Pelodiscus sinensis: one gene and its partner. The protein of the gene in region 1 purifies or fractionates together with the protein of each later gene. This does not show direct contact. Links are inferred from orthologs where the notes say so. Each region holds a gene or a part of one and is shown on either strand. Other genes may lie near its edges. The genes, in order: ARHGEF2 and MARK2.

Region 1 (9,504 bases):
ACCCCCCCCCCCCACTCCTACTCCCCTGTCCCACATAAGCTAAACTTTCTGCCCCCCTCCCAGACTCTGCACCCCAGTCCCCTGTCCTAGGTGACCGCCCCCTCCTTCACTAGGTCACAATCCAAACCCCTGCACCACAATCCTGTGACCCAGGTCACAACTGCCTCCTTTACCCAAACTCCCTCCCAGACCTCACTGGCCCTCCTGCACCCCAATCCCTCACCCCAGGGGTGGGCAAGACCGCCTCCGTGGGCCAGATCCAGCACGTCAAGCTGGATGATCCAGCCTGCAGCTGCCCTGCCACTCCCCTGCCCTCAGGCCAATCAAGACCTGGGGACGGGGGAGCTGGTGGTTGTCTCTAGGTCTAGGTGTTGGGGGATGGGAGGGTAAAGACTTCACAGGATCCCCCTGTCCCAGCCGATCAGGGTCTGTAGATGGGGGAGCATGGTAAGATTCCGGGCCCAACCCTTTTGCCCGAGGCCCACCCCTTCCGGAGTAGCCCACAACCACTTCAGAAATTTGTGAAGCGGCCCCACTTCAAAAATGGGTGTTATGGGGAATTTTGCTATTGACTTTAACAGGGTCAGAATTTCGCCACTAGCATTGATTGAAAGAGCTCTCCCCACCTGAAACATTGCAGCTTCCAGACAATAGTACTTCCCATGTTCAAATTCTTGGCATTCCAAAAGCTGCCCAGTAGGTAGCTGGGAGGGTTAGATTTGCCTTGGCAAATGTCAATAGCTGTTGATTTCACCGAACCCAAGGAGGACAAAATATTTCCATCAAGAATATTTGAAATGGACAGCTAGGCAAAGTGAGAAAAATGCTTCTGGGGAGAATTTTACCTTAATCATATTTACCATGCAACCAGCCGTTCTGCGGCACCTGAGAGACTAACAAATCTATTGGATCATGAGCTTCCGTGGGAAAAACCCACTTCCTCAGATACTTAACAGTGTAGTCAATTAACTGATAAGCAAAAACTGATAGGTTAATGCTATAGTATGCACATTTCCCTTCCCTCCCTCTCCTCTCCCCCTCCCCCTGCTGCCCTGCCCCTGACAGGGCTGGATTATCCAATAGGCAGACTAAGCATGTGTTTAGGGCACCAGCAAAGCAGGAGCACCAAAAAAAAAAAAAAGAGAGAGAGAGAGAGATTGTTACGGTATAGTATTGTTTTTATTTTGAATTACATATGGGGAGGCACCATAATCTTTTCAGTGCTTAGGGCCTCTAAAGGGCTTAATCCGGCCCTGCCTGGCTAGTAAACTTTCTTAGCAGGCTGGCCAGCAGCCTGGCTCAGTCCTGGCTTGCAATGGGTCCGGGATCTACCCCTGCTGCAGCTCTGCATTTAAAGTGTATTAGGAGCCGGGCAGGCAGGCAGCCTGGCTCAGTTCAGGCTTGTGCTGAGTCCAGGAGCTCAAACTGCCCTAGACAGGGGCTGCTGCCACTCCGCACTGCTGCCTTTTTGTCCATGGCTGCAGCACGGGGTGACAGGCAGCCGGTCTGTGAGGGGAGCTGGTTTTTAAGCTGTCTCCCCTCTTGAGCCAGCTCCCACTTGGCACCCTGCACTGCTGCCTCGGATACAGAGGCAGCAGCACGGAGTGAAGCCGGAGCCCACTGGCTGCTGGCCCCGCCCCCGGGGACTATAGAATAGTCGAGTAACAGATAAGAATTCATGAGGTTACTCAACTATCCAATTAACCAATATTTAACATCCCTTATTCTTGCTCTGTGTATCTTTAGTGTGTGGTGTTGACAACTTGTGTTTGTCTCAGCATTTGCTGTCATTCAGTCATTGTCTGTCCCTTATCCCCATTAATCCCTGAAACTGTGAAAATTGAAATATCTCAAGATGGGGGGATGCTTAAAACCCATAATTTGGCACAACTCTGAAGATTTGCATTGATAAAAATGACACACTGATATTATTGGTTGGCATACACGTTGAATCCTGCCAAGCCTACCAATAAAATATTTATCACTTGGGTTCTTTTTAAATTCCTTGTCATTTTCTCTCTATAAATCCAAGGGCTACAGAAGAAGGAAGTGCAGGCATCTCCCACATGTTACGAGGCTGTAACTCTCATCACGAGAGTGACAGGAGAGCTTGTAAATGGCCAGTGCAAGGCTGGAACGGTTTCTTCCTGTTCCGTTTGGGAGGCTTTGTTGAAGGTGAATGAGGAAACAGATCACAGCTTAATGTCTAATAGTAATAGAGATGTAGCGGTGTTAGTCTGGTCTTGCTGAAACAAAAGACAAAAAAGTGCTGCATAGTCCTGTCTTTTGTTTCAGCTTAATGTCTGTGCCAGGAAAGATAATGGAGCAGGCAATTAAGGAATTAATCTGTAAACACCTGGAAGATAATAAGGTGATAGGTAACAGCATGGATTTGTAAAGAACAAATCCCGTCAAACCAATCTGATAGCTTTCTTTGATAGGATATCAAGTCTTGTGGAAAAGGGGGAAGCAGTGGACGTGGTATACCCAGACTCTAGTACAGGGAGTCCCCGAGTTACGTGGATCCGACTTATGTCGGATCCCTACATACGAACGGGGCTTTTCTCACCCTGGAGGACGCGGGCGGCGGGACCGCCCAGACGCACCGCGGTCCCACTGCCCGTGTCCTCCGCGGCGAGAAAAGCTGCTCCGCGTCTCCCTGGTCTGCCGGCTTTGCTCCGCGTCTCCCCCAGCAGATTAGGGAGACGCGGAGTGGCTTTTCTCACCTGGTCCGCGGCGAGAAAAGCCTGGTCTGCTGGGAGGGGGGTGCACTAGCTGCGCCCCCCCAGCAGACCAGGGAGACGCGGGCGGCGGGACCGCCGAGACGCGCCGCGGTCCTGCCGCCTGCGTCCTCTGCAGCTTTGATCCGCGTCTCCCTGGTCTGCTGGGGGGGGGGGGCGCAGCTAGTGCGCCCCCCCCAGCAGACTAGGCTTTTCTCGCCGATGCCTGGGGTAGAGCAGCTGGGGTGCTGCCGGGTTGGTCCCGCAGCGCCGCTCCTCGGCGCTACTGGACCAACCCGGCAGCACTCCAGCTGCTCTGCCCCAGGGGTCCCCAAGTCAGCCGCTGCTGAAACTGACCAGCGGCTGACTACAGGAAGCCCAAGGCAGAGCAGCTCTGCCTCGGGCTTCCTGTAGCCAGCCGCTGGTCAGTTTCAACAGCGGCTGAATCTGGACGCCAGTTCCGACTTACATACAAATTCAACTTAAGAACAAACCTATAGTCCCTATATTCTGCGTAACCTGGGGACTGCCTGTAAAGCGTTTCATACGGTTTCACATGACCTTCTTATCAAAATGGTTCACAGTCATGCTGGAAATGCATAGCAGGTGGGGTTCCAAAGGGGTCAGTTTTGGGATAAATTCTGTTCAATATCTTCATCAGTAGTTTAGATACTGGTATAGACAGTATGCTTATAAAGCTTGCAAATGCTACCAAGTTGGGTGTGGTTGCAGGTGCTTTGGAGAATAGGGTCATAATTCAAAATAATCTGGAGAAATGGTCTGAGGTAAATAGCATGAAGTTCAATAAGGACAATTGCAAAGTGCTCCACTTAGGAAGGAGTTCTGCAGAAAGGGAACTTGGGGTCATAGTGGGCCACTAGCTAAATGTGAGTCAACTGTGTGACACTGTTGCAAGAAAAAGCTAACATGATTCTGGGATGCATTAACAGGAGTGTTATGAGAAAGACACGAAAGTCGTTCTTCTGCTCAACTCTGTGCTGATTAGGCCTCAGTTGGAGTATTGTATCCAGTTCTGGGCACCACATTTCAGGAAAGATGTGGAGAAATTGGAGAAGGTCCAGAGAAGAACAACAAAAAAGGATTAATGGTCTAGAAAACGTGGTCTAGGAGGGACGACTGAAAGAACTGGGATTATTTAGTTTGGAAAGGAGAAGACTGAGAGGGGACATGATAGCAACTTTCAGGTACCTAAAAGGATGTTTCAAAGGGGAGGGAGAAAAATTATTCTTCTTAACCTCTGAGGATAGAACAAGAAGCAATGGGCTTAAATTGCAGCAAGGGAGGTTTAGGTTGGACATTAGGAAAAAGTTACTGTCACATGATTAAGTGTTAGCATAAATTGCCTAGGGAGGTTGTGGAATCTCCATCATTGGAGATATTTAAGAACAGGTTGGCCAGACATGTATCAGGGATGATCTAGATGGTGCTTGGTTGGTCCTGCCATGAGTGCAGGGGCCTGGACGTGATCTCTAGAGGTCCCTTCCAGTTCTAGGATTCGGTGGGTGGAAGGGGAGGTATGACCTGCAGTAGTGAGAGGAGGAGGCTGGGAGCCAGGATACTGGTTCTAACTCGACTCCAGAAGGGAAGTGTTGCCTACTGGGCAGAGCAAAGTTAGGGCATGTCTAATTGAAATGGCTCATTTGAACATTCTGAGACTATGGTTAGTTTTCAGACTGGAGTCAGAAAATTGGGGAAGGCTTCTAATTTTAGGCAAGTGATGAGGGCTCCCTTGCAAAGTGAGCGCTGGCGCATAGTGGGTATGAGTCTGTAACCCCCCCCCTCCCCCCGCGCTAGGGTGGCTTGGCTGTTTAGCTCCCACTTTAAACGCTTGCAGGCCCTAGTTTGATCCCTGGTGCCAAGCTGGTGGCCATTCCATGCACACACACACATACTTCCTATCAGCGGTTGTCCAGTTCCTGGGACTTTCTTCCCTGGACCACTGGGTCCCTGTTCATGGGAATCTGGTCCCATTCTAGAGGAGATCTGGAATACAGGGGAATCCCCAGCCTAGTCAGATCCAGCTAGTGTCTCATCTCCAACAGCGACCTATAGTGGCACATGTGGGGAGGGGGGTGTTCTATCCACTCACAATTGGTCCCATCCTGATTTCGAAGAGAACTTGGGCCAGGCTTGGGAGCCGTTGGCTGTTCCAACTCTGGTCCGTAGTCTGAGCCCTTGATGTCTCTCTCCAGCCTCCTAAATCCCTCTTCTCCACCCCTCCCCCACCCCGGGCATTTTTGTGCGTGCGCCTGTTCCTCCCCCTCTCAGCAGCTTTGCTCTCAAGCCTGTTTACATTCCCCAGCCGCACACGCAGTGCCATGCGGGGTAGGACGTGCTTGTCTGAGCTCCCTTCCGAGTCCTGTTCTGAACTAGAATGACTGTCGCTTCTACTAAAGGTACAGGCAGGAGGCACGCAGGGCCGGGCAGGGCCGCGCTGTTCTTAGTTACTTGTTTTGATCAGTTTTAGAAGGAGGCCACGTGGGCTTGGGGGTAGGGTCCTCGGTGGGGAGTTGTGATGTAGCGGGAACTGTATTCACTCTTGCAGTTGCTGAAAGTCACTGTATTCATGCTGTTTGCTTTGTTGGGTCATGTGTGATTCTACTGTCCTATGCTGTTCTGGAGTGATGGTGGGGGGATGTGTGTGTGCGTGTGTGCCTCAGTTTCCCTGGGCAGTTCAACATTGCCTGGAATGGGGGGGGGGGGGGAGCATGACTCACTGAAGAAGTGAATTTGGTCTCACACCTGAGAGCCAGGTGATAGGAGATAACACCTTTGCTGGGGAATCGGAACAAAGGAGGGGGCGGGGCTGCCTAGAAGGCTGAGACCAGTTGCTGGGTGTGTGAGTTTAGTTTTCTGCTGCTGTAGGGAGGAGGGAGTGTAGCTGGCTTGGGGGGCTCTGGGCCCCCTCGTCCCTAAGATGGATTGTACTGAAAGCTCCTGGTTCCTGTAACAAGTCTGCTATGCCGTGTCCCTGTCAACAAATACACCTTCTGTTCTACTTGTTGGCTGAGTCTCACATCTGACTGCGGATGGGGGTGCAGGGCTCGGTAACTACCCCACACTCTGTGACAGGAGTGAAGCTGCATTCCTGGCTCTAGGAGAGGTGTGGGGCCTGCCTGTTAGAGCAGGTGACTTGACGCCAGGACTCTTGTGTTCTGTTTGTGGCAGTGACAGAGAAGTATATGACTGGAAGCCAGGACTCTTGGATTCCCTGCTCTGCCACTGATTTTCCTAGATGACCTTTAGCAAGTCATTTCCTCTCCCTTTGCCTTAATCTCCCCATATGTAGCCCCCCTCCACCTCACTGTCCTCCAACCTAGCCAAAACAATATTTGATCCTCCCCTGGGGGGAGAAGGTGAGAGAGAGAAAAAACCATGGCAGCTAGCTGCTAGGTTGCTTAATTCACTCCTAGAAGGAGCTGACATGCAATTGGGCAGAGGAAGGTACTTGGATTGCAGTCTTTTTGGGGCAGGGGCTGTCATTTCATACAGGGGGTGTCTGTGTTTACAATGGGGTCTCAGGCATGACTGGGGTTCCTAGGTGCTCCAAAAATTAAAATAGTAAGAGAAGGCACAATAACTTCTGTAGAGTCTAATAGAAGAGAGCTGTCTTTCCCCACCCCCACCCCCAAAGAGGATTTGAGGGGAGCTAATTCAGTGCTCTGAGCTCCTCATTTGGTAGTACAATTTCTTTTCGGTCTCTCTCCAGCAGAGCCACCCACCACAATGAATTCCACCGCTTGAGCTAAGAGAGTCGCTCTGCTCCCTGGCAGCAGTAGTAAACCATTATCCTCCATCACAGCAGCCTCCGGATGGGGACACAGCACACATGTAGTCATGCCAGCCCTGCCGGGGGAAGCAAGCCTTGCTTTGCTTTGCAGTCACTGGCCTGATTCTGAGATGGGCACTGGCTTCCTGGAAGGGTTGTCTAGGGAAAGGGAGACTGGCCTGTCCACCCAAGCTGGAATCCTGTTGTCTTGTATACTTCCGCTAGGTTTCCATGGGCTACCGCCCCCTGCCCTCAGCTCCTCGCTGGCTCAGGCCAGCATGCTGAGTGGTGACATAGGCTTTCCCCCAGGGCTCCTAGAGCAGTGTTTCTCCCAGTGGGCTGTGGGCCGGCTTTGGGAAAGCCGCTAGTGGGCCTGCGCTGCTTTGTTTACCTAAATGCTCCGTAGCTCATGGCTCCGGTTCGATGTTTCCAGCCAAAGGGGAGTCCTAGTTCCCTGCTCTAACCACTAAACAATCCACACATCCCAGAGCTGAGGGTAGACCCCAGGAGTCCTGTTTCCAGATCCATCCCCTGTTACACTCCCCTATATTGACAAGAGGGCTAAATTTACCAGGAATCCTGACTCCCAGCCCTCCATTTTGGCCTAAGTCACACTCCCCTTCCAGAGTTGGGACTGGATTCCAGTCTTCCCTCCCCCAAGCTTGAATTGCTAGACGCCTCTTCCTGGGAATGGATGCCAGGTCTCCCTGTCCCACCCCGCCTTTAACCACTAGCTCATACTCCCCTCCCGTTGTTGGCCCATCCCTACATATGGACAATTGGTAACTGGCCTAGGACAATTCAATCAAGAGCTGTCAGCAGCTAACGGGCCGAAGGGGCGGAAAGTTCTTATCAGCTGACAGCGTCTGGGAACTCGAAAACAGGAAAGCGTCTGAGTTCATCCCGTTGGACCGGGGCGGTAGCTAGGAAGTTTGTACAGCAGGGGAGAAACAGGAGCTGGCAGGCTGGCCGCGAGCGCGGAAGGCATCCAAGCAGAGACGGGAACAGGTCTTTCCAACAGCAGGTGCAGAGGGTGAGTCTGGGGCAGCTAGAATGAGGTGGGGCTGATCCCCCAGAGAGGTGAATGCACAGTAGGGCCTGGGGCGGGATGGGCCTGCTTTGGCACTTTGGTTCTTTGATTGGGGATGAGCAGGGCTGGTAGGCATGGCGCTGAAGCTGGGCAGCATGATCTAGTGGAGAGGGAATTGGGCCGAGTCTCAGCAAGGCTGGGTTCTATTCCTGGCGCTGCCACTGACCTGCTGCTTGACCTTGGGCAAGTCACTTCCCCTCTCTGCGCCACAGTTTCCATCTTGCCCTGTCTGTTTTAGATTGGCCCCAATTGGAACAGCTTACAATATTTCCTCTAATCTTTTCCATGTGCAGAATATTTTTTTATTTGCACCAAGGCATGTGCAAATGTGCACCACCAATAGAAACAAAAAGCTTAACTGTGCGCACTCTGCTAATTGGCTGGGCAGCATTTGAATCTCTCCCGAGCGGCTGCACAAGTGCCCAGCTGCCTGGGATTTCAATTCTTGGCTCTGCCACAGGCTCTTTGTGCAACCCTGGGCAAATCACTTAGTTTATGTCTAGTGAGTGGATGTGATTTCTGCTTGAGGCATCGTAGTCCAGCTTGCTCCGGTCCCAGAACAGTGAAGTGGTGACCAGCACCTGCAGTCTAGACACATACCTTTAATCCTTCTGGGTCTTGTCAGGGCTGTTCCCCACTTTGGCACTCCAAGTGAAGAAGGTGGGGGCCTGCAAGGGATCTTAAATACCTTGCCCCTATAGGCTTCTGCTTTAAAAAAACCCCAAACTCCCTAAGGTTACAGATTTCCTGGCCTTGAGAAAGAGGCTGCCACCATCAAGTGAATTAAGAAAAATCCTGAAAACCAGGAAGAAACACTTGAACTTCTTCCCAAGAGGTACCCCCGAGCTCTTTTGCCACAAGATAACTTGAAAAAATAAACAAAAAAACACAGAAAACAAACTGTCTCTCTGATAGCTGACCCCTCGGGCTAGGCAGGCGCACACAAAGACCTTCTGTTACTTTCCAGACACAAGAATCAAATCATTGCATTAAAAAGGTGATTTTATTAATAAAACAAAAAGGTAGACTTGATAAAGTGCACTTGGTTGCTAGGTGTTTTATAGAGCAACAAAGAAAAGAACAGATCAAACCACAAAGAAACATAGTCCTTTGAGCTGTAGCTTGGATATGGGGAAAGGAAGTTCACCCAGAAAGTTTAACTAAACTACAAAATAAAAAAAAACAAAACCCCTGGTTGTGATTAAATATATATTCTTCTATCTACTCATGATCCATACTGATCTGTACTTCAAGGCCCCGTCTATTCCCGTACCCAATTTTTCTTGTAAGCATGGTCTTTCTGTTTGATTACTTCATCTTGTTTCCTCCAGCTGCTAATTTAGAACTCACACAAAGGAAGAGCAACCAAGTATCTCTATTCAATTTACATTTCAACTGTCTTTCCGCCAACATCCCCTAGCTACCTGAGTTTAACCCTCTAGTCACTATGAGGAGCCAGTGCTCCTCCTATCCATCTCAGGCCTCAACAGCCTATCTGTAAAATGGGATTAATTATTTTAATAAGGTTAGTTCCTTTGTCCTGGTTTTAGATACAAGACAGGGACTGTCCCGTCCTAGGTGTCAGTGCAGTGCCTAACACCATCAAACCCTGATCTCAGCCGTGGTCGCTGTGCTGTTGTACTAATAACAACACTACAAAGAGCAGAAGGGGTGTTTTTGATCTTGTGGTGCTGGTAGGAAAATTCTCTCTGTCTTTTTCAATGGATCTGGGAGCTAGCGAGGGTTGCCAACTATATCACTGTGTAAACCCTAAAACCTTTACTCTGCCCCCTGTCCTGCCCCTTCTCCGAGGCCCCAGTCACACTCTCCCCATCCCTGCCCCTGCCTCTGGCTCTCACTTCCTCACCTTCTCACTCTCACCAGGTCGGGTTGGGAGTTTAGGT
Region 2 (10,439 bases), on another chromosome or scaffold:
ACTACAGGAAACTTGGCCACACCCATAATAAGTGGAGAACCAGCTAACTAAAATCATGCCGGACCACGGAAGTTACCGGACCAGAGAGTGCCAGACTAGAGAAGTTCAACCTGTTAAGCTTTTACTCAATGATGAAATATACATCAGTTTTGATGGTCCAGATGCCTGAAACAGTCATCTGCAATGTTCTAGATAAGAGAAATTACAACACTTCCTGTTTTTAACCTCAAAATAGTTGACTCTACCTTGAAAGCAAGAGGTTCTCAAGCTACATTTTCCACTAGAAACAGTTTTTTAGACAAGGCACACCTCAGTTTTGATCATGAAAAGCCACTACCACACAACAAAGAGAACTTTGGCAAAGTTTTGCTCTTCAGTTTAGATGATCAGTTTAGGATGGTTAATAGCTCTCTGGTCAAAACAAACCAAGGGTGGAAATGTCAGGACTAGGGATGTCAGGACTAGGGATGTGAACAGTTAACTGGTTACAGTTAACCATCACCTTTAAAGGTGAGCTGCTCCCAGCTCAGCCGGAGCAGCTCCTGCCTGCGGGGGAGGAGGAAAAGGATTTCAACCTCTGCTTCTCCCTACTCCTTTTTTAATCAGTTAACCAGTTAAACATAGTGTTAATGCTGCGTTTGAAAATTAAACAGGATTTTACATCCTAGTCAGGATTTAGCTAAGTTGGTAGAGCTGTGTGGAAAAGGATTCTGTACAAGCCCCCTACCCTGCCTCTGATGCTGTTATCTTCTTAAAAACACAAGATGACCCCAAAGTGAAAAAGCAACAAGAGATGGAGATGCACTATAGTTTGCCTTCCTTGGTTTCAGTTCTCTGACATCTCCACAATTCCCTCTTAACACTGCCACAAAGATAAATTCTTATATTATTGATCATTCAGATTCCTGCCAACTCTCCAGACCTCTAGTTTTAACGGAAGAAGATGACTGAAATCTTGGCTCTGAATTATGTTCTGCTTTTGCCTTTATTATGCACCATAATAATCTACTTGCAACCCTCCACCCACAAAGAAAACAGGGAAGGACACAGCTAAAGAAGCCTAAATCATTGACAGCCGGTCTGAAGTGTCAGTCTGAGATCTGAATTCTCATTATCCAGCCATTCATACAGGGATAAGGGAAGCAGAAGCTTTATTTTTATGCTTTAGCAATTTAAAGTTAAGGCAGCTGAAGAGAGATCATGGAAACAGCTTTAGATCAATTGTGCTTAAATGTCAGCCAAATTTAGTTATTTTGAAGAAACTGTTAAGAACGCCAGATGAAATGAGACCAGTTAATAGAAACAGAGGGAGCTGATCCCCATTCTGAAGCTGTATTCCTGCTTGTTTAAAGGTACCAGAGAAGAAAATTCTATTAATTCTAAGAAGCACCAGGGCATGTTTTGAAACCAGGACCAACTTCACCAACATAAAGCATACATTAGTGGTCAAAGGGCAGCTAGGGCCCTCTTAGCCACACAATACACAAGCGTACATACACAATTCCACACCTCCTCAAGCTTCATTAGTAATGGGGATACAACCACATTAGGGATGCAATAGTGTAGTTGATTAACCAATAAGAAAAAGCTTATAGGTTAATGCTACAGACTACATGCATTCCCTCCGCTGGGCAGTAAATTTGTTAGCAGTATGGTGAGCAGCCTGTCTCAGTCCTGGCTCGTGACAGGTATGAGACCTACCCCCACTGTAGCTCTGCATTTAAAGTGTATTATTAGGAGGTAGGTGGGCAGGCAGCTTGGCTCAGTTCTGGCTCACAATGAGTCCAGGAGCTCAGACCTCTTCCCACCATGGACAGGGGCTGCTGCCTCCCCTATATTAGAGGCAGCAGCACAGGGCAACAAACAGCTGGTCCACAAGAGAAGTTGGTTTTTAAACTGGTTCCCCTCACAGACCAGCACCCACTTGGCACCTGCCCCCCGCCTCCCCCCAGGACTATAGAATAGTCGAGTAATCAATAAGAATTCATGAGGTTACTTGACTATTCAGTTAACCAATATTTAACATCCCTAAACTACATAGCCATCTCAAGACTGGGAGTGAAGCCCATTTTTAAAATACCTTTGCTTTGGACAAAGATAAGGAGGAGACTAAGTAGCATATGGCATCAACCACTTAGAATGAATCAGACTTCATGGAAGGAAGGCTGTTAGTGCAAGTGAAATACTCTTTACAAATAAAGTCCAAAACCATGTTTTGATTACCTTATGCAGCTAAACACAACAGCCAGAGAGATCCTGGCTGCACAGCCAGTCCCTTCTTTTCTCCACAAATCACCTAAAAAAAAATTACTGACTATGGGAAGTTCATGTCTACAGCAGGTCTCGACTCACAAGGGTCATGAGGATTAAAACAGGTTAGATTTGTGTGTCTTTATGAGCTGTTTCTTAAATTCAGTTGGGAATGCAATTTGCTCACTAGTTGTCATCTCTCACAAATGCACCCCTGAAAAAGCAAACCACCACCATGTCACCAGGCATCTTGAGCTGCAAATGAATGAGGCACTTGAGAGGTAAACCTAATAAGGGCATAGGGGAATAATGAGTGAGCATGGAAGTGGGATCTTCCTTCACTATGAAAGCCAAGGAAGGACCTGATGTGATATGGAGCAGCAGAAAAGGCAAAGAGAGGCAGAGCAGGGGGCCATTTCCCTTGCCCATTCAAAACCCCCATCATTCAGCATGGGCTGATGAGGCAATTAATATATGGGAGGGGAAGGAAAGATGGAAAAGATCCCTGCTCCCAATTGCTCATGCATGCCACAGGGAATAAATCAATCCACTGCTCTCTTCTTCCCATTTCAGGGAGATTGAAAGTGGAGCATTAATGCACAGAAGTGGATTACAGCCACTCCTGCATGGACCACTCAGCCTATGGGAATAAGAACTATATAGATATTTATTTGTATCATCCTGCCGCATGCCTCTCTTTCACCAGGGAATCATTACAGGGTTCCAAGTGTCCCTGCATCCACTTTGAGGGAAGATACACAGGGGATCTGTAGCTCTGTGCACAGAGCAGATACATAGTAGTCTCTCCCTTATTTGTCTCAATATCTCATTCTCCATTGACAGCAGTTAGTGATGAAGTACTGGGTATGTGGGAATACATATAATCTCTTCCCTGATCTGCACTATCTCCAGTAGGTACACTATAGACCACAGAGTTTGGGAGGCATGAAGGGACTTACTAGGTGGAAGATACGTATACATACACAGGGGATTCTGTAGGAATCTCCTCTCCTGCCTTCCTGCTCCACATGCCCCATCACAGGGAAGACCAGATGGACCCTTAAGGACTCAAGAAGGATGCATATCGATCTATGAAGAAGGAGGTTCCCACCCCTCACTTAACCATTAGAAGCACAGGATGGGGAGCTGCAGGGCATGGGGTATTACCCACCCTATAGTCAATGCTTGCTCTATCTCCCCCCACCCGGAGCAGGGAACCCCTCTCCTGCCCCCCTGCATTCCCTTCCCTCAGCAAAATACGGCATCCCGCCCTCCCTGCCTCGCTCCCTCCCTCCCTCGGGTTAGGGGCCCCCCAGCCCCCTACCTGTTCCGTGTCTCTCTCATTCACGGTGGGGAGGGGGCTCCGGCCGCTGCTCGACATCTTGGGCCCCCTTGGCCAGCGGCTCCTGGGGCTCCGGCGGTTCCTGGGGCTCTCCTCACACCGGGGGGGGCGGCCAGGCCACCACCATGGGGGAGCCCAAAGGGGGAGGGGGGATTCAGGGAGCCGGAAACCGCCGGGACTCGGACATGGGTCTCCGCCGGGCCGCGATGAGGGAAGCCCGGCCCGGCGGCTCAGGCGAACCCGGGGATGAGGCGCAGGGACCAGGCCGCGCCGCCGGCAGCCAGGCGTACGCGTGAGCGAAGGCTGCACAGAGCCGGGGCTGAGGAGACCCGGAGGCCGAGTGCCCCTGGCCGAGCCGCCTTCTCCGCCCCGAGACCCGGCTCCCCTCAGCGCATCTCACATTCACACAGCAGCAGCGGCAGCAGATCCCAACATGGCCGCCGCCACCGGCCTTCGGCCATTTCCGCCCCCTTCCGGAAACATCCGAGCCGCTCGTCGGAGCCAGTTTCCGCCGGTTCCGGAAACCCCAGCCCCCAACCCCTTCTCGGCAGCTTCCGCCGTCTGACGGAAACTCTCGATTCACCCTCCCTGTCATCGCCAGTTCGCGCCTCCTTCCGGAAACATCCGAAACAGCAGGCGCGGCCCCTTTCGCGATCGGTCACTTCGCCTCCTTCCGGATAAACCCGAAGTTCGCCTTCGGGACAGCAATCGGACACTTCCGGATGAGCGCCCGAGAGTAACCGAAGGCTGAAGATCGGCAGTTTCCGGAATATTCCCCGCCCCCTTGCTGACGCTCTTTTCGGCAATTTCCGGAAACCAACGAACAAGCCGAAGAGGTTTCGACTCTTTCCGCCTTTCCAAGGCGAATAACCGAGCCCGGGGGCGAAAACAGGAGGAGCCGACTAGCCTCGGCTATTTCCGCAAATGTGGTTTGCGCGAGCCCCCGAGGGGGCTTATTCTCCCGTGCGGAGGGGAGCCAGGCTAAAGAGGAGGAAGATTAAATCAGCCATTTGGGTAAATGGGCGCACAAGGATGCACACCCGGCACACAACGGATTGAGTCGCTATGCGCTCACGTACACACCGCATCGTGCAAACATGCACAAGTGTGTGTGTACACCTGGGCGCGTCACACACACACCTGCAAGTGCAGCTGCATAGACACACGGCCTAGGCCTGCAAGTGCCCGTGCCCAGCCGGAGAGGTCCTCGCACTCGCACTCCCATCTGCACCTGCGCTTCATGCGCCCCCTGGAGACGCAAGACTCACCCGTAACGCCCCTCCCCCCGCGCGTCCCTGCCTCACCCACCTACAGCACAGGGTTCCCCCCCCCCGCTCCCAGTGGTCTCTTCCGTGCATGGGGGCTGGCGCTACCCAACCGCCCTCCTCCCCCGCGCGCGCAGTGACGTTCCGAAGCGACGAGACCCCGCCTTCTCCCGGTTGCTACTGCCAAGCCTCGTCACCCAGCCCCACGGGCTGATGTGCGCTAGCGGCGCCACCTGCTGTGAAGCGGTGGAACTGCAGTTGGTGCCGGCCGGCAGCAAAGGCTGACGCAGCTGGCGCTTAGCACCCACTGCAGCGTCCTGGAGATGCGATGGGAGCTGACTGCTGCTGACGACGTGCAGCGCCCCAGTTAGCCGGAGCCGGAGTGTACGAGCTCCAGGAATTGGCAGGGGGAGCCCTCGCATGGCTTGCACATGGCCACAGCTGCATGCAGTGCACACACACAGACAATCTGGGTCCCCACTGCCTCTTTCACACACTTCCTGGCTGGGCTGCACACACAAACATCTGCATATCCACAGATGCTCACTGCTGCATGTACAATCATGCACACTCACATTGGTACAGGCCCATAGTGGCAATCACATACAGTACGGGTGGGGAACCTCAGGCCCAGGGATCAGATGTGGACCCCGGCTTGCCCGGATCCGGACTCCGAGATTCAGGGACTCCCCTGCACTGGGGAGCCTGTGCTGGTGCTCCAGTGCCCCCTCTCCCTCCACTGCCCAACCACAGGGCTGGAGAACACAAAATCTACTAGGCTGGGCCCGCCAGGCTCTGGTGTGCAAGGGCAATGTAGGGAGTGTCTTTCTCCTCAATCAGCCGCTTCAGTGTGTGTGTTTTGTGTGTGGCCCTTGACTGATTTTTCTATGGGTCACATGGCACCAGACCCAAAAAAAGTTCCCCACCCCTGACATACGGGAATACTCCAACAGCTACAGATACCCACCCACAATGACATGCAGATGCATCCATAGCTTCATGCACATGGACACATCTGCAGCTGCATGCATACACCTATAGTTGCATGCATGCTCATGTAAATTTGTGCACACACAAAAATACACATCTGCTTGCACAGCCATGTGCACACACTCAAGCACTCCTACCCTGAGTCACAGCTGCCTACACACACCTGTGCAATGTTGATGTGCAAACACATCCACATACCTTCCCAGAGTCTCAGCTGCATGCACATACTCACACCTACATGCACACACTTGTGCAATATCTCTGCATCCACATACACACTAGAGCAGGGGTTCTTATTGCATCACAAGCCCCCTTCTGACAATAAAGTTAATGCATGATCCGGGGGGGAGAGGTTGGAGCCTGAATCCCACCACCCTGGGTGGGAGGAAAGGGGTCCACAGTCCAAGCCCCACTGTCCTGGGTGGGGTGGAGCATGTGCTTCAGCTTCAGCCCTGGTTCCCAGCAAGTCTAATGCTGGTCCATGCAACCACAGTTTGAGAAACACTGTACTAGAGGATGCTCATATATCATGTAGCCAACATTAGCACCACCAAGTGGGACTGGCTGATGCTTGCATTTGTGAATTGTTCCCAAATCTGGGTCTCTGTTGATCTTCCCCCAGAACCAAATATCCTGTAAAGAGGTAGAGATTCCAGTCAGAGAGCTAGGGCATAGTGAGCTAGCAAAGAAGCAAGTCAGGCCTCCAGTGCAGTGCAACACCAGGAGGATTATCAAAACTGTTGTGTTCAAACACACCATGACACATTGCACACTGCAGCAGAGCTACACACTGCCTCTCTGCTTAGCAGCTTGGCACACAGCACTACATCAGCAAGGAGGGACTGCTGATGAGGCCAGTTCCCCAGGGATCCCTAGCCAGATTGCATATGTAGCACACCAAGCAAAATTTTCAGCCTACCACTGGAGGGCCCCAGTCATGAACAGAGCTTCATGCCGCTCTTGAATGTCCGTCCAGAATCACGCAGTGGGGAACTACTTTGTGCAGCTTTATTGTTGTTCTGTGTATCCACGATCGTCTGGACCAAGATCAAGACCCCATTGTGTTGTGGCTTCACAAACTGACCAAGATCAGGGTCTCCATTGTGCCATAGGCTGCATAGACACAACCTCCCCCCCAGCTGAAATCACAGCACTATAGGAAAGGCAGCGTGGGCCCCTAAGAGCTTAAAATCTAAACAAAGGTTGGGGGGAGATATGCAGGCCCAGAGACGAGAAGGCCCTTTCCCCAAGGTCAGTGGCAGAGCTGGGAACAATTCCCAAGCATCCTGAGTTCCAACCCAGTGCCCTACTCACTGGGTCCCATTATTCCCCAGGGCCATGGTTTGCAAACCTAGAGGCAAAGGGAGAGCCAGAGCTTGGACCCAAGAGTGTTGACTCAGAGCAGCCTGTGTTTAATAGCAGCTAGGGCTTGTTGAGCCAGCCTGACCTGCTTGGAAGGAGGTTACTTTGGCTTTCTACTCCTGTCTCAAACCCCTGAGTCCTGGGGTTGATGCCAGGGATAAGGAATGCCCCATAGCAGCCAGGAGGTGCAGAAAAATATGGTCCCTCATCCCTTGTGGCTTCCAAGGGAGCAAAGAATGTGCAATATGGGGGCAGGAGACTGCGCCACTCAGCTGCCAACAGGGGCAAGGTTGCTGTCCAGCAGAAACACCTTCCAATCAAAATTGAAGGGAACTGGGGAAAAGCAGATCGCAAAGGAACTAGTCCTAGGTTCCCTGGGGGATCAATTGCAGGCTGGCCAGCCAGTAGTTCGTTGTTCTCCTGATTTGTTGGGGCTTCCTCAGGAACCAGGGGCTGGGCTCTGGAGTGTTTGCCGTGGATGATTTATGACGGCCATGGAGAGAATGGTCCTTGCAGCAAAAGGCACCTCAAGGGCTGGAGCGGGCAGCAGAAGACAGTCAGCAGGCTGGAGGGAAAGCCAAAGAGGGGGGACAGAAGGAAACCTAGAGGCTGGGGAGAGGAGGCAGGAAAGGAAGGAAGCCTGCTGGCTGGAGGGGGGCTGTGAGTCAGGATTCCCCCACCCCCACCCCAGCTCTGCCTTAGAGTAGGAGTTTCCAACTATGTAGCCCCATCGCGGCAAGAGGGAGGTGCTAGTGGCGCAGTCACATGGTCAGATGGAGGAGGGAGGAAGCTGCTCTGCTGTTAACTCTTTCTTGTTCTGTCCCTTCTCTGGCTGCTGGACTGAGGGAGACTCAGCTTTCCCTGCTGCAGAGGGTGGTGCTGAACACCAATGGGGGGGGAGTTTTTGTGCACTGGGAGAGGGTTTTGTAGGGACCATAAGAAGGAGCCCTGCTCCCGGTGGAGAACCAGAGCAAATCAATGTCTAAAGCCAAGGCAGGAAGGAGCAAGACACTCCCACCACCGGCTGGCATGGCCCTGGGGATCATTAGAGGCACCACACATGCTGTCCCCCCTCTGGGTCCTTTGTCCCATCCCCAGTCTTGTATGCCTTGGACCCCCTCTACTCTAGCCCCATCAAGCCCCCCAGTCCTGTGCCCCCCAGACCACTTCCCTCCAGCTCCCTCTGAGTCCCCCCAGTTCTGTGCCCCCAGACCTCTCCCCCTCCATCCTATTCTGAGCCCTCCAGCCCCCTCTGAGCCCTCATAATTCTGTAACCACAGACTCCTTCCCCACCAGCCCCCTCTGGGCCTTCCAGCCTTCTCTGAGCCCTCCCCCCCAGTTCTATGCCCTCAGACCCCTTTCCCTCCAGTCCCCTCTGAATCCCCCAAATCTGTGCCCTCCAAATCCCTTTCCCCTCCAGACCCGTCTGAAACCCCCTCAATCCTGTGACCCCAAACCCGTTCCCCACCAGCTCCCTCTGAGTCCCAAGGCCTGTGTTCCCCAGGCCCTTTCTTCTCCAATGAGTTCCTCTCTAATGTGTTCCCCACTGATCCCCCTAGTCCTATGTCCCCTAGACCACTTTCCTTGGCCCTGTTACCCCCTACTACGTCTGCATCCTAACCCCCTCCCTCCCAGGGAGGTGAGGGATGCAACCCCTGTGGTCAAGGGTAGGGTTCATATGCCCCAGTGTATTATGGGCAGGGGCAACCCCTATAGTTGCTCCCAGCCCCATGTATTATGGGTGGAGGCACCTCCCCAAGGCTGTTCCCAGGCCCTGTTGCCTTTTGAGTGGAGGGAGCCCTTGGGATTCTTCTGGGCCCCGTTGTGCTGTAGAGGATTGACACCAGCCTGGGACTGTAGCAAGAGAAAAAGGGCCAAACGCCCATAATCCCCCTGCCCACTGGGTCCCAGAATCGTCAGGATGCCAGAGTCACCTGTGAACAGGATCCTCCTTCCCCTCTGCATGGAAGCACACTCCCAGCAGCAGGGATGCAGTGCCAGCTCCTAACCAGCAGGGGCATCCCCCCAGATGGCAGCAGGGAAGACAAAAGTCAAAGGGGAGGGGGAGGAACAGGCCAATTGTTACTGCTCAGGAGAGGGCCTTGCCTCCTACTGCCCCACTGCAGAGAACTCCATGGGCCCTGGGTGGGATACAGAGAAGCCCCAGGCCATCCCCCACAGACTGAATAAGATCCCCCCCCAAATATGAGCCCCCCCAGGAAACACAAACAGAACGTCCATATGCACCCCACAACTTTCCCCCAAGAAGCCACGGCCAAGGTGGGCTGGGATTTAGGGGTATCTGCAGGGCTGGGCTGGTACAGCCAGGTGGGGAAATTAGGATTTTCAGTTTTATGCTCTTCTCCCAGTGACTCCCCCCCAATCCCAGCCATCCTATCCACAGGGGGCTCTAAGTACAGGCTGCAGGAGGGATGAGTGGACACACTAATTCACTCAATTGCATCCATGCAATACAGGAGGGTGCCATGGGGTGCAATGCATAAGAGGACGACCAGGAGTGTGCAAGTTCCCAGGCACCCAGTGCCCAAGGATGCACTGGACGAGTGGATGGGAGGCCAGCAAGGCTGCCCCCACCTGGATGCAAAATACACAGCTGCATAGGGCTCCATGAAATTTGGGGCACCACATTGCCTTACATTGTGTGGTTCTTACACAGCTGCCTGCTGCGTATGGGGCAGCGCTGGCTCCAGTGACCAGCCCCATCACTCGGTTGCCCCCCAACAGGTTGCACCCATCAGGGCCACCCCTGGGGGGGGAGGATGGGACCTGGAACAATCCAATTCCGTCCCTACTGTGCCCTCGTCCCGGCTACACACCACCCCTTCTTTTAAGCCCCACCCCACTCTGCCCCTGCCCTGTCTCTTCCTACCCCTGCTCTAGCCCCTCCCAAAACCACATTCCACATCTTCTCCCAAGCCCCCTCCTCCAAGCGACCTGGCCCAGGGGACTAGCGGGGGGCCTGGCACCGGCACAGGGGACAGGCCCAGTCCCACACTCACCAGTGACGGGAAGGGTAGCGACCCAGGCCCAGCCTGCTCTTCTCCACTGGCTTCCAGCCACACCGCTCCGCTTCCCACCATCATGAGTGCAGGGGGTGGTTCCGTCTCTTCCCCCAAACTCCCTTCTTTAGGTGACACAGCTGGGAACCAGGGGAGCAGAGGGCCCAGGTTGTTCCACTAACCACCATTGCCTGTGAGGGCAGGAGTAAG

The links.
Region 2: the proteins of ARHGEF2 (region 1) and MARK2 purify together in Homo sapiens (affinity purification with western blotting; 3 studies listed by BioGRID and IntAct, with this or other methods). This does not show direct contact. The link is inferred for Pelodiscus sinensis from reciprocal best matches to the Homo sapiens genes ARHGEF2 and MARK2.

Annotation. Positions count from the first base shown.
Region 1 is NC_134734.1:14,731,992-14,741,495, forward strand, and holds the start of ARHGEF2 (rho guanine nucleotide exchange factor 2), read left to right. Parts: upstream 1-5,100; 5' UTR 5,101-5,115; coding exon 5,116-5,137; intron 5,138-7,428; exon of another isoform or gene 7,429-7,543; intron 7,544-9,504. UniProt on the Homo sapiens protein: Activates Rho-GTPases by promoting the exchange of GDP for GTP.
Region 2 is NC_134721.1:33,912,380-33,922,818, forward strand, and holds the start of MARK2 (serine/threonine-protein kinase MARK2), read right to left. Parts: upstream 4,081-10,439; 5' UTR 3,632-4,080; coding exon 3,575-3,631; intron 1-3,574. UniProt on the Homo sapiens protein: Serine/threonine-protein kinase. Involved in cell polarity and microtubule dynamics regulation. Phosphorylates CRTC2/TORC2, DCX, HDAC7, KIF13B, MAP2, MAP4 and RAB11FIP2. Phosphorylates the microtubule-associated protein MAPT/TAU.